Drosophila melanogaster: one gene and its partners. The protein of the gene in region 1 binds, or shares a complex with, the protein of each later gene. Each region holds a gene or a part of one and is shown in the gene's direction. Other genes may lie near its edges.

What was found. The genes of interacting proteins can lie anywhere in the genome.
Region 2: Ada1-1 (region 1) and Saf6 share a complex: the UniProt entries of both Drosophila melanogaster proteins name them as parts of the spt-Ada-Gcn5 acetyltransferase (SAGA) complex.
Region 3: Ada1-1 (region 1) and wda share a complex: the UniProt entries of both Drosophila melanogaster proteins name them as parts of the spt-Ada-Gcn5 acetyltransferase (SAGA) complex.

The regions. Positions count from the first base shown.
Region 1 is NT_033779.5:11,995,148-11,998,467, forward strand, and holds Ada1-1 (transcriptional adaptor 1-1), read left to right. Parts: upstream 1-1,661; 5' UTR 1,662-1,756; coding exon 1,757-2,556; intron 2,557-2,620; coding exon 2,621-2,747; 3' UTR 2,748-2,818; downstream 2,819-3,320. Other genes in the region: CG18789 (uncharacterized protein), read right to left, coding at 1-38, 94-170; Qtzl (quetzalcoatl), read left to right, coding at 667-796, 855-1,096. UniProt on the Drosophila melanogaster protein: Component of the transcription regulatory complex SAGA, a multiprotein complex that activates transcription by remodeling chromatin and mediating histone acetylation and deubiquitination. The SAGA complex predominantly acetylates histone H3.
Region 2 is NT_033779.5:812,782-817,954, reverse strand, and holds Saf6 (SAGA factor-like TAF6), read left to right. Parts: upstream 1-2,004; 5' UTR 2,005-2,123; coding exon 2,124-2,480; intron 2,481-2,533; coding exon 2,534-2,680; intron 2,681-2,733; coding exon 2,734-3,712; intron 3,713-3,770; coding exon 3,771-4,004; intron 4,005-4,061; coding exon 4,062-4,498; 3' UTR 4,499-4,641; downstream 4,642-5,173. Other genes in the region: CG15880 (uncharacterized protein), read left to right, coding at 57-711, 773-909; Pex12 (peroxin 12), read right to left, coding at 979-1,872; Dbp21E2 (DEAD box protein 21E2), read right to left, coding at 4,644-5,173. UniProt on the Drosophila melanogaster protein: Component of the transcription regulatory complex SAGA, a multiprotein complex that activates transcription by remodeling chromatin and mediating histone acetylation and deubiquitination. The SAGA complex predominantly acetylates histone H3.
Region 3 is NT_033777.3:23,254,538-23,259,844, reverse strand, and holds wda (will decrease acetylation), read left to right. Parts: upstream 1-1,757; 5' UTR 1,758-1,845; coding exon 1,846-2,004; intron 2,005-2,064; coding exon 2,065-3,359; intron 3,360-3,436; coding exon 3,437-3,737; intron 3,738-3,797; coding exon 3,798-4,144; intron 4,145-4,221; coding exon 4,222-4,351; 3' UTR 4,352-4,775; downstream 4,776-5,307. Other genes in the region: Pex11c (peroxin 11c), read right to left, coding at 1-168, 864-935. UniProt on the Drosophila melanogaster protein: Component of the transcription regulatory complex SAGA, a multiprotein complex that activates transcription by remodeling chromatin and mediating histone acetylation and deubiquitination. The SAGA complex predominantly acetylates histone H3.

The DNA.
Region 1 (3,320 bases):
CATTGAGGCTGGATTCCATGTCGGCTTTGAGATATTGCCTAAAATAATTAAGTTATTAGTTCATCTGCATAGTTTTAATATCAATGTACTCACTTAACATCGAAATGCTCGTTGTTGCACTTTGCGCCATAGCGGCAGGAGCCTTGTTGAAAGAACCGGCAGACAACCATATTTAAATTTGATTTTAATTTTTGCCTATTTCCTATATTTATTATTTCAAAACTGCTTCAACTTTTGTACTTTTGTTTATAATTGTCTTACTTTGCGTATTGAGTATTCTTTGAGTATTTTATGGCTCACTGAGAAAAATATACCGTGCCTATGCGCGCAATTTCGTGAATTCGTAACTTAAGTTCGCTGAATGATTAAGATAATTTTGTAAGCAAACATATTTAAGATGAAAACTGGTTTTTGAAAATATAGTTCCTTGTAAATTATACATTAAGTGCGAATATATCTGAAAAATATTGGTTTCTTGCACAGATGCTATTCATTTTTCATATGTTCAAAGAAATTCAGAAACTTGCTTCTGCATAATCGAATCAGATAATTTTAAAGTGAATTCCGGAGTCCTTTGGTATATCTCGTGCCGCCGAATACGGTCCCACTGATTGTGAAATCCGTGATAACGAATTTTAACACCAGAATTTCTAGGATTCCATCAGAATGCAAAAAGTGCTGGGACGCATCCAGGCGCAGGTCCTCCGCTCCCGGGCGACGAATGCATTAGCCAATGTGGTTAGACACGAGGCCACCTCCTCCAGGACAGCGGCTAAACCAGCCGCCACATCCAAAGGTAAGCGGATCCTCCAAGATGCACAGTTACCGCTTACCAAAATCGTATTCGTTCGTAGAATTCCGGGAGAGACAGGTGCGATTCAACATAAAGAACGAACAGACCGAGGGTAGACCACTTTACCTGGATGCCCAGGCCACCACTCCAATGGACCCACGTGTATTGGACGCTATGCTCCCCTATCTGACCAATTTCTACGGAAATCTGGTTCGTACGCTTCGCCTTCAACGCCTGGCAAAAGATTCTGGCCTTGGGCAATCAACTGGGCACAACATTTGTCTGGGAATTGGACTGCAATGATCCCAATTTAACAAAGTGTAGCCAGCTGGTTCATCCCAAAAGCAACTCCACCATCCGACAGACTTCCTTCTCCAAAGACGGTTCCATTTTAGTTTGCGTGTGCGACGACAGCACCGTGTGGCGATGGGATCGCGTCAATTAGGATGAGTGTTTCTAGGCTAAAAGAATTTTCCTTATCCTTCTAAATCCGATACCATATTTATGTAACCATAGTTATTTTCAGTGTAATGTTTACCTTCAATATTAAGTATGTTCTTATGCGTAGCATTTATATACAATACTCATTGTATTGACAATTTATGTTAAATTATGTTAAATTTTTTAACATTAACCAAGATATTTATTCTATTCTATTACTTTTTTAATGATCAAATAGCTTCGCAAATATTATCATCTTATGTTGTGTGAATGGCGTGGGCTCTATCTTTAATGTTTATATTTTAACTAACTAACTTGTACACAATAAAAACTGTGAACACTAAAGATTAAAACCAATATTTTTTTAAAGGGTTCTTCAAAAATAACGGTTTTTATCTCAAATGTATCTGGTATTTTCAGCCGTTCTTTGAACGGTCACTCGAATCAGCTGCATTCATTTGTTTATATAGCAATTCGCAAACAGTTGGATTTTCCTGTTTAGTTGTTATTCCCAATACTAAAATGCTTACCGACAGAGTTCTGGCCACCAAGGAGGCGCTAGTGGTGGCTCTGGGCGACAACTGGGAGCGTTACCGGGCCAACATGAAGAATTGGTTTCGGAGCCGTTGGACTAAGGAGGAATTCGATGCGGAGTCGCGGAAAATCCTAACACCTGACAAACTGCACCTGCACAATCAGTTCCTGCTCGCCCTGCTCAACAAGATCGACGCCTTTGCTCCCCTGGAGAATCCTCCGGCCGTCCAGACCAGCAGCAGTAGTGGCAACCGAAGCAAACGGCGCAAAAGAAGTTGCCGCACCTTCGCCGAACGCCTTAATTTTGAGCTCAGCGACGTCCTGGACTTTGTAGCCGAGGACAACATGCAAATCATTCGTCCGCCAACCACGATCGGTATTCCGTCGGACCAGCAACAGCAACAGCTTCAGTCGCAGCGGTACTGCGCGCAGGAACTTTTCCTGCCCGACGCGGGATTCATTATGGGACGATTTCTGATCGGTGCCTGGGAAATCGGACTTGTCTCCGTGGACGACAATGTCGCCGAGTACGTTGCCATGGCCGTGCAAGTTCTGCTCAAGGATCTACTATCGGCAATCATCAAGAAACGAAAGCACTACAAGACCAGCGGCGAGGGAAACTTTTACTACGATGTAGGTGCTCCGTTGCGTGATCCTTCGCTGCGCAACACCGTCACCCGGCAGAAGGTCGACGACACGCCGCTGGAACTGGACAAGGAACTGAATACGGCCAACTTTATGCGGCGACAGAACGACGATGTGACCTTCCTCTCCGCCTGCGAAGAAGTGTAAGCTCCTGAATAATAATGAGATTTTCATGTGAAACACAAACTTAGGTTTTGTTTCTTTCAGCCAACCCACCGAACGCACAGTAATCACCCTCAAGGACTGCCAACTGGCCTTACGGGATCGCAACCTGATAGGCTCGCATGCCGTCTACTCCATAAACATGGAACGACTCAATATGATGATGCATTAGCTTATAAGTTCTAATTATTTTATTATATCAGCTTCTGTAAAAATATATACATTATACGCTAGTGTACCATTAAGTGTTTGGTTCAGCAAAGATTCCGTGGAGGCGGTTTGAATGGCAAGGCACCTGGTAGAAATTGATCCGCCTTGAATGCTTCGATTTCCTGCTCGTTGAGATCCTCCATGCGACTGTAAACTGAGGACTGGATTTCGTTGGTCGGTTGAGCTTGCTGCTGCTGCTGCTGCTGCATCATTTGCTGTTGCTGTTGCATTTGAAATTGTTGTTGCTGCTGCATTTGTTGCTATTGCATCTGCTGCTGCTGATGCATTTGTTGCTGTTGCATCTGTTGCTGCTGCTGCATCTGTTGCTGCTGCTGCATCTGTTGTTGATTAGGGAATGCAGATGCTGCTGCTTGAGCAAATAATCCGGAGGCAGCTGCCTGCTGCTGCTGTTGTAGTTGCTGAGAAGCCTGAGTAAACATTCCGCCCATATTTTGGCTTGCGGCTTGGCCAAAGATTCCCGTCGACTGCGGTTGCTGCTGCTGCTGTTGGAAACCACCGAAAGGATTAGGATTCA
Region 2 (5,173 bases), about 11 Mb from region 1:
TAACAGAAAGTGTAAGATTGTCTGACCGACTTGTCCTAGGATTAACCTGCTCTTAAATGCTGCACTTTGTGGAGGATCAAGCCAAGCTGTTGCCCAGCTCCATCAAGGATTTGCAGGCGAGGCGGCATTTCCGCATCCCAGTTGGTCCGATTCTCGCACTGGGGCTTCTGCAATTGCCCGTCTGCATGGTGTACAACCTGGTGATGGCCATCACCACGGACTTCCAGTCCACCACGTATACCACCTGTAATGCCTTCAACATCTTTCCCTCCACATCGGCGGCTGCCAAGTCTCAGCACAAAGTGTGGGCTCTGGCTTGCTACCTGGAGTTCCCATTTCTCATTGCCAGTGCATGGCTGCAGTTCCGATTCTATCGGAGGAATCTGCGCAGGCCGGTCCGAGGTTTCGGCTGCCTGATGGCCATCATTATGGCTGTCAGTAGTTCCAGCGTACTGCTATGGGGCACCTTCCCCCAAGAGGATGGCGACTCATTGCTGCACATAACCATCGCCTTGTCGCTATTCGTATCGTGTGCCATTTACATGGCAGGTTCCTTTGTGTGCGCCAAGTACTATATGAGCGATAGGATTGGGCAGCTGCATGAGGAATTCTCCTTGCGGTTGAAGAGCGGTCTGGTGCTCACCTACTACGTCTGGGTGGTGGTCATGTGGATTTTTTACTTTATACACCAGAAGTTTTGCTTTCCCTTGGGTGAGTAGAACCTAACCGAATGGAAGGATGTCTACAATTCTAATCCCCGGATCCTCTGCAGCCTACTCCGTATTCGGTATGGGCGAGTTCATCTCCTGTGAGTGCTTCTTTATCTATCTATGCACGGTCTACTTTGACTTCTACCACGTCTACATATGTTACGACCAACGTTTGGGTTTCTTCCTCAGCGAGATGTAAACAGTTCCCAATTCCTTATAAAATGTATTAAACAAAAACAAGCAAAAAACATAAAAGGAATGCTTAACGTTACGTCTCGTAGATGCGCACCAGGTCGTCCAGACTGATGGGATAGTGGGTGACCGGGCAGGTGCCGTGCTCCTTCATGTGGCTAACGATGCACTTCCAGCAAAAGACGTAGCCGGAAACGGAGCAGGCAGTGGGCGTCTGGATGGACAGCAGGCAGACTGGGCACTCTCCCCGCTGGGGAAGGCTCTGCTGCACTTCCTTGGGCAGCTGCTTTCTCGGCATCGCTTCGGGATTTATCAGAGTTCCACCCACTTTCCGCCGCTGGTCGTTGGAGTACCACCACTGGACGAACTGCAGGAAGAAGGCCAAGACCTCCAGCATCTTTAGGACCACGTAGGTCCACTGATCCTCTTTGGGAGGTTCGCTGGGATAGCGAAGGGTCAGCCCCAACAATCTGAAGATGGGCGAGTGGTTTGAGGCGTACTTTACGAGGTAAAAGAATGTGTGCGCCGCCTTGGCGGCATGGAAAGCATGGAATGCGCTTAGAAGGCGTTGCTCCCAGGGACTGGTGTCCTCGTGCCTGGTGATCCTGGTCCTTAGCTTCCGCTCCACGTAAGGCATGAAGGTTAGCAGTGTGGCAGAGGCGAACTGCTGCCTGCGGTTCAGCAGATCCCCAGTGGTTGTGACCGTCCTTTGCAATCCGTAAAAGCTCTCACCGAAAGAGGAGGCCCTCTTGCGCAGATACAGGTACTGCAGCAGCCAAGTCAGCAATGGCGACAGCTCCTCCTGAATCCTCAAACTCCCCCATAGTTTAAAGTCCAGGCGTAGTCCAAAGTAGTCGAATATCTTGCTCAGTGCCGGGTAAATCAGGTTGTCCAGCGTCTCTGACGCTGAAATTTCGAAGATCGACGGCACATTTTGAAGGTTCTGGCGCACATTTGCCGCTTCTGCCATTGTGTTTATAGCATTTAAATAAATGGAATTAAATTCGAATACCAATTATGTTGTTATTCTTATCAGTACTGGTGTTATCGGGCTTGGCTTGAAAACAGTCGAGTGCTCATCAATATATCGATAAGTCGTTGGCACCATCGATAGTTGGGTTAATAATCTGGCAAGATTTGTTTATTTTGTGGTGCAGCTTCGTTGTTTATTTACCAACTGTTGAAAATATATACATTTATGAATTATACAAAACCAAGAAGATGAAAACCTCTGGCGCCAGCAATACTGACGAGCTGAACAAGTCATCGCACAGCAAAGTCAGCAAAAAGTCCACTAAGTCGCGATCTAAGTCGGCGAAATTGGAGTTGACTGGAAAGAATTCCCTGTCGGCATCCGCATCATCCTCCATCGCATCCGCAGTGAGCGGGGGCGTTGCAGTGGGCAGCCTGCCGGCCACGCCCACTCACCTAAACATGGTGACAACGCCCACCACGCCAACATCTAGTCTGGGTAACTACAATCTGTTTGACGCCTCATTTGCGGTAGCAGGAAGTGGTGGGCACGGACTTGCAGGCGGCATCGCGGGCGCAGAAGCCTCTGGCAACTCCAGTCGAATGGTAAGGATGCCAATCTCAGGGCCCTCTTATGGTACAAGCTCTCTTTACTGTAGGGTCATCAGAAGAGCTATGCTGGTTTCGATCCGCGCAGCATCAAGATCTTTTGGGAGCAGCACGACCAGACCGATGTGGAACTCTCCCAGGATGTGTGCGCCCGTTTGGCGGAAGATGCCTCCTACAAAGTCTGGGAGCTGATCAATGTAAGTCGACCGTAATACACCTCTTTAATCCCTCTAACCTCTTGATCTCTCAGAATGTCAAAATATACTCGCGCCACTCGGGCGGAGTGGTGACATACGACCTGGTGAACGAAGTGCTAAAAGATGCCGATGTGCCGCCTATGCTGGGTGCGATGGACAGCGACTGGGACCGGATCGACTATGACGGCAGTTTTTACTTTCACTCGGATAAGATCTTCGAGCTGAGCGCGGAGTTTCAGAAGGAAGTCAATCTGTGCACACCTGATGATGCAGACTTTCAGAGCATCTGCCCAGTGGAGGATAAGCACATGGACCAACTAAGACAGTGTGTCCAGAGTCTTGTGACGGCAGCCCTTTTTGCGGACAGCAAATCCCAGACGGCCGCCGTCTGCCATGCTTTTCAGACACCCCTGATGGGATCTATCTACCGAGTGATTGTGAGTAAGATGGTCCAGTTGCTAGCCTTTAAGCAGCAGGACCATTTGAGCCAGCGATGCTGGCGACTGCTCCGAGCATGCAACTACAACGCCACTGCTAATCACAATGCCTGCCGGCCGGAGTACTTCAACCTGGCCGAGGTACTGGTCAGCCAGCTAATGGCACCTTACGAAACTATCAAAGCTCCACACGTCGACCCAGATCCGGGACAAACCACCTCCATCAAAATGGAGTTTGAAGAAGAACTAAAGGTTGAGCCAGACCAGTGCCATAATCCGGAAACCCAGGAAAATCCGGAGGTCATGGGAGTAGAGAAACAGGAGCAAGAACCCCAGATGTTTCCGGGTGAGAGCACCATGGAACACACAATCTACAAGCTGCAATCGGAGGAGGAGGAATTGAATCCTCAGCCGGAGGCGGAACACCTATCCAGCTACTTTGCCTGTCCAGTCGGCAATGGCCTGGTGGACGAGCTGTGTGAAACTATAGGACAGCTGGCATCTCAAAGTGGTTACCTACATGCAGAGTGCCTGTTTTTGATCAAGAGACGCCTAGCGAGATTCTTCGAAGGTCGCCACGTCAGCAGTGAGAGAGGTAAATCATCCTTACAATTTGTTAGCCTGGATCCTTATCTTTGGATTTCTTAATTAAGACTTTAGGTATATCAGTAGAGCAGTGCGCGGTCTCATTGCCCTGGGAGAATATGCCTTTCGTGAGTTTATTCCCTACATCTACAAACTGCGCGTCGAGGAAATCCCGGATAGCCTGTGGCCGGATCTGGCTCCGGCTGCCATCTTCCTTGGCGGTCATGATGACGTATACCTGTATGAATGGCTGGAGTACGGATGCGGTGCTGCTCTGCAGCCCTTCTTGGTCCACTATGCGCGTAAGAAACACCCATGTGTTCCATGAAAAGCGGTTAAGTAACTAAAAATCATTGCAGGAGCCTACGAAAAGATGGTAACCAGACGGTATGTGAAGGCCAAACAACCCGCTTACAGAATAGAATCAGTGCCGGGAGTGCGTCGGTTGGAATGGAGTACTCTTGCGGCAGCCATGTGCCACGGAGACGATCCTAGCAAGGCACTCAAACCGAAGCCTACGCTCTGCGAGGCTTTCCCCGACCTTCAGTCACCAAATCTTCAGCTCAACTGCGCGGGCAACATCCGCTTTAAGTTTGCAGGATGCCGCCCGGTGCTGCTGAAGCCGAAGGTTGCGACTGTTCCCCACTCCGAAGACTCGCCTTCGTCGGCAGCGAACGGTGGTGGGGGTGGCGGTGCCAGCTCCGACATCCTGATCGCCAAACGAAAACTCTTTAAGCCCCTGACCAACGTGAGAAAGTGGTCGCCCATCAGTGGCTATCACTACCTAAGGATCTGAAAGGGACTTGGGAAAGTATTATAAGACCTTCTGGAGGTCCAGGAGGACCTGGGGATCTCAATAAAACTCTTCGTTTACTTTAGACTTCCTCTTCGGTCTTCCGAAAGGTGATACAACTTTACTCGTAATACATAAAAACACAGAACTAAAAGGCTTCTTCCTGAGGCGTATGTCCATTTAGTGAGCCCAAAGCGGGCACGGGCATTCCTGCAGCTTTCATCTCCGCCACAATCCGCTTGTTGATAATGTTTCGGATGTTGGCATTCACATCCGGCAGAAGTCCACCTGTTCGAGCTGCGTGCTCAATTCGCTGGACGACGTCGATTTCGCGGCGCGATGATATCAGGTTCGTGACTAGCGCCTTGTCCATGTTGCCCACCCGACCGATCCTGCCACAACGATGGATATAATCGGAGACGTGGAGCGGAAAGTCAAAGTTGACCACATGTCGAGCTCGTGTGGTATCCAGGCCACGACTTCCCACATCGGTGGTGGAAAGGACGTCGCAGTGACCGTTTTGGAACTGCTCGAAGCGGCCAAGACGGATCTTCATCAGCATATCCCCATTCAGATTTAAGCAGTTCACTCCGCTGTTGTTCAGGAAGATGGAAACGAAGTCACTGGTGGTGGACTTGTTGCTGAACACGATAAGAGGGCGACGTTTGGCAAGATCAT
Region 3 (5,307 bases), on another chromosome or scaffold:
ATACTCCAAAGCATATTGGATCATGGGTATGTCGTCGATGAGACGCAGTGTGGCTCTCGCACCTGAGATCCTTGAGCTGGCGGTGGCGTATCGCTTGGCTAGTTCCGGATTCCGCTTGGCATGGTAGCCAGCCACCAGTTTGGCACTGTAGCACAATGCCTTCATCACCTGAAATAGGTATTTAATTTCATATATGTAATAATTGTTCTGCGCAATTCGTTAAGCCGTGTGTTTGCTCTATCACGAGAGTTGGCATCGCTGTTTACCTTTGCCTCTACCTGACCCCAATCGCCAGTCAGCCCTGCAATTTGTGGAATTGCTTGGTTGTCACAAACAGATAAAATACTATCAGCGATAAAAAGAATACAACGAATGCCACAATCATCTCGTGTGATGGCCGCCAGTGGAGTGCTCCTGGTCGTCCGTCCTGGCCGGAATGAGTTGTGGGTGGTTTCATTGTTTACCCATTAATGGTTCAGTTTGCTTGCTTTGCCATCAATGAATTAGTTATGCAATTCGGAGGAATACTAATGTCGCTATACGACTAATTTATGTAAATATCCTATAGTATTTCCAAAGTTCGTGACCACCCCATTCGCTGTTTACAGCCACATAATATATTATATTATATTTTCAAATGGTTATCAAGTATAACAAATTATTTGTTCTAATTAATAAATCTAAAATACTTTGAACAATATTTTATCGTATTCAAGGTTCGATTTTTCTATTAAAATAGAGATACACTATACAAGATTCCCTCTTTGTCTGCACTGTATACACCCCTTGTAGGGGTATATAAACTCGCGATGGTGGAAATGTGTGGATCGCGTGTCTCCTGATGGGCGGCAGTCCAAACAAACCTTTCGTTCATAACGAATTATCCGCTTTATCTGGTAGCGGCTTAAAGGTTTGCCGGCTATAGTATTGAGCATTATCTTGACTCGATCGCCGCCGAACTGCGACTGATAAGCGAAAAGCGAAATACAAAATCCATTGCGAATCAGAAAGAAGTAAGGCAAGGTCCAAACTGCTGTGGCTTCCTTGTTCGAGACCCAAAGACCAATGCCAACATCGATGCAGCAACAACATGGAAACCTGTTGGTTCAGTTTCGATTTCAAGCGAGCCCCTCAATGGACCAGTCCAAAAAGGAAATAGAAACCAGTCAAAATGCCACGATGCATTTTTTTAAATTTGCGCATACGAATTGGGAAAAACACTCGGTTCAAACGTAAACAAACAGGTGTGTTTTCAATTAATTGGAAATTTACTCGGCTGTGCGGCTCTTCTATGTTACCTTATCTCGCCCGCCATAGGAATCGATAATATCACAGAACTCGTTCACAAACTTTGTCGTGGTGCCCATAATGGCTCGTTTTTTGAAGACCAGGTACTGTTTTATATCACGTAAAAACTCGAACTGAGATACCGCAGCGAAAATACAAGAAATTGTCAAGAGCGCTCGGGAATCCAACAACACAAACAGCTGACTTTCTTCAGTGGTGACAATAGCCAAATAAACTAGCTAAGAATAGAGAATATAATAGAGCTAAAAATAAAAAGCTAGTTAATATAAATAAAATATAATATAAATATAAGTTAAAAATGTAAAAATAAATTTAAAATTAAAATATTTCAATATCAATATTGTTATAAAAGAGAAGCCAAATAGCCATCACTGACGAAAACAATTTTGAAAGAACAGCTGTTGCAGCCGCTTAAAATCGATGAATGCACATCGATAGGACAACCCATCTCCGCTGTCAGCACTATAATCGAACGCATATCGGACGCACTGCAGGACGGGATCAGGATACGGAACAAAGCGAGGCTAACACGCAACGATGAGCCTGCCCAGCGCCAGCAACCACGCACATGCTGCATCGCCCGTCTACAGCAACAGCAATAACAACAAGTCGAGCGCGAGCAGCAAAAAGACCTCCTCCAAAAACGATTTGCTACGCTGCGCCGTGGGACTCCTGCTGAAGCAGAAAAACTACGTGGTAAGTGAATAATCTTCAAATATACAATTCCTCAGAGTGTTCAAATATTCAAACCCGTAGAGCAACGAACGATTTCGGCGGTCGGATTTTTTGCTGCTGCAAAACAAACAGCAGTTTGCTGTCAACAAAATGCTGGATACGGATTTGCACGGTGGCAATAGCTTCACCTTTTCAAATGTCCAGGTTATCACCAACAACCAGCACACTGTGGACCAGCAATTTGGTCGGTTTTCGCAGTTCGTGGAGGCCCAGGCCGAACCGCTGCGTCTGGAAATGAAGCGCTTTTATGGACCCATGCTGTGCCACTTCTATCTGGATCTGCTCAAGGCTCGCGAACCGCGTGGCGCTGTGGAGTTGTTGCGCAAATATGCTCACTTGGTGGCCCCCGTGGATATGTACGATGCACCACCACCTACCAAGATCAACGGATGCTCCACTACGGCCAATGAGTCCACTTTTAACATACGCTTCGCAAAGGAAGCCCAGGACACTGGGGACACGGAACTGGACTACTTTATGCGCCTGGTGCAAACCCTGAGTGGCTACACACGGCTGGAGGCAGCAGAGTCCGATGACACAGTGGCCCATTTTCGATCTTCGAAATACGAACTACATACTACAGCCGTAGTTGTTAATAGGATATGCGCTTATCTCCAACGACGGGGCCACGTTTTAATTATGAACCTACTCTACACCTGGTTGCATGTCCATATAGTGGAGAATGAGCAGCGCGCCTTTAGTGAGGATCACCTGCTTGGCTTGACGGATGACCTGGAAGGTGAGGATGGAGAGGACGATGTTGTTTCCAAACCAGCAGTAACCCTTAATACCCGCGGAGACATAAGACCAAGCAAATCCCTCACTGAAAAGTCGAACCGAAAACGACCCGCTGAGGAGCCAAACATTATGCTAGAAACAGACATCAAACAGGAGGTAGAAACGGATGAATCTGCAGAGCTTAGTAAATTACAACTGAATATAGACGCCTGCTTGGACACCCTTAAATCGGCCACTGAACAGATACTCAAGTCTCAGGTGGAGTTGCCGCGATTTCTCAGAATCAGTGAACGTTCTCGGGGCCTCACCTCCGCCCATCTGGATCCCAGTGAGTGCCACATGTTAGCCGGGTTCGACAATTCTGCCGTACAGCTGTGGCAGTTAAACCAGAGCTACTGCCGCGGCAAGAGCTTCTACAGACGCTATCCGCAAAAGCGGTGTCCCTGGGAGCTGAACAATTGCGCGAATCAAGAGGAGGAGACGGATGAGGACAGCAGCGATGAGGATGTCAAGTGCTCTGAGGAGGAGAGACGGGAACGCAACAGGGCGCGACATTGCAAATATGCTGATAACTCCTAGTAAGTTCATCTTCCAGGTTTAGTATTGGTTTTATTTTTCAATTTTTAATCAACTAAAGTTTTTTTTTTCTAATTAGCAACGAATACGGCGGATTTCAGCTGCGAGGTCACACAAAAGGAGTCACCGATGTGCGCTTCTCCGCCCACTACCCACTCATGTATAGTGTGTCCAAAGACGCAACCATGCGGTGCTGGCGTGCCCACAACCTGCATTGCGCCGCCATATACAGAAGTCACAACTACCCAATTTGGTGCTTGGACGAAAGTCCAGTGGGCCAATACGTGGTAACGGGTTCCAAGGATTTGAGTGCGCGCCTCTGGTCGCTAGAGAAGGAACATGCGCTCATAATTTATGCCGGGCATACACAGGATGTTGAGGTTGGTTTAACCAAAAATGTCTTTGAACTTTTAGTTATATATATTTTTTTTTTCTGACAGTGCGTTGCGTTCCATCCGAATGGCAACTACATAGCCACAGGATCGGCAGATCACTCCGTTCGCCTGTGGTGTGCAACCAGCGGAAAATTGATGCGTGTCTTTGCCGACTGCCGTCAGGCGGTGACCCAGCTGGCGTTTAGCCCAGATGGAAAGATGTTGGCTGCCGCCGGAGAGGAAACGAAGGTGCGTATATTCGACTTGGCCGCCGGAGCACAGCTGGCTGAGCTCAAGGATCACTCGGCGAGCATTAGTTCTCTTTCCTGGAGCACGCACAATAGGCACCTGGCCACAGCGTGCAGCGATGGTACCTTGCGATTGTGGGACATCAAGAAACTATCGCCCATGAGGTTAGTTATATTTGTGGAATGGAAACGGAGCAATTTGTTAATATTGGTAATGATGATTTATTTTGGTTGCTCCACAGTGACAACAGTAGTGCTGGAAGCTCATCATCAGCTACAACGAATCGTGTGCTTACTGTCAATAGTTCCTGCCAGCGCTTGGTCGATGTTTTTTACGGGACCAGCAAGACGCTCTACTGCATCGGCACTTAAAGAAGACGGTTGAAAGTTCAGCCCGAATTTAGACTTTCTAGTGACGACTTATGTTTGAAAATAATTTATTTTGTAATAAGTTGTATATTATTGTTACTATCGTGTGAAACAATTCTTTATATAAATAATTCTTTTGATTTAACAATCCTGGTAGCTTTCTTGTGGAATAAAACGAGTTGGTTACAGTGTAATGCCTTTACCTGCATCGTCTACTGGTCACAGCTAAAGAATGTCTTTCAAAACGAAGTCATGGCATAAGTAATGAGTGGCCAATTTCCACAAAAGTTGAAAAATGTGTAACTATTAAAAATAAGACGAGCATTCGAATCGAATTTCAATTGTTGAAGTGATTTTTTTTAATATATTAACATTTTACCCAATACCTAAAAATGTGCAAAACTAAATAAATCTAAAGGTAATATAGAATTTTTTGGTTGAATTTAATTAGCGATGCATTAAGAGACATTTTACTGTTCTTCAATAATTTAGGTAGTTTCATATAGGTTTAGGATTGTGTAAATACATTTATATACAGCTTGGAACCTCTATGATTTTGGACATACGCACAGCCCTTTTGAACAAAGAACATTGAACTTAATTTTTAAATAATGTTGGAGTGATCAGCCTTCTGATCGTAAGTTACATGCAATCAATGAATTGAACAACTATAATCAAATATCATAACTTATGTAAATGAGCTTGTCTACGACCCAGCGGGATGCAACAAAAGCTTTATCTTTATCCGGTTGGCTTAAATATAGTGACTTATACAGCGTAATAAAAGAGGGCAGAACATGAATAAATAATAAATAGCATGCATATGCTACGCATGCCGACAGCAGCAGTCTGATTCCACAGCGCACTGGGAAGTAGAAGGTCTAGTATCACAATGTCACTTTATTCAGACCTGAAAGTCTTTGCCAATAAAGTTGGAAGGTAATCCCACCGTGAATGCC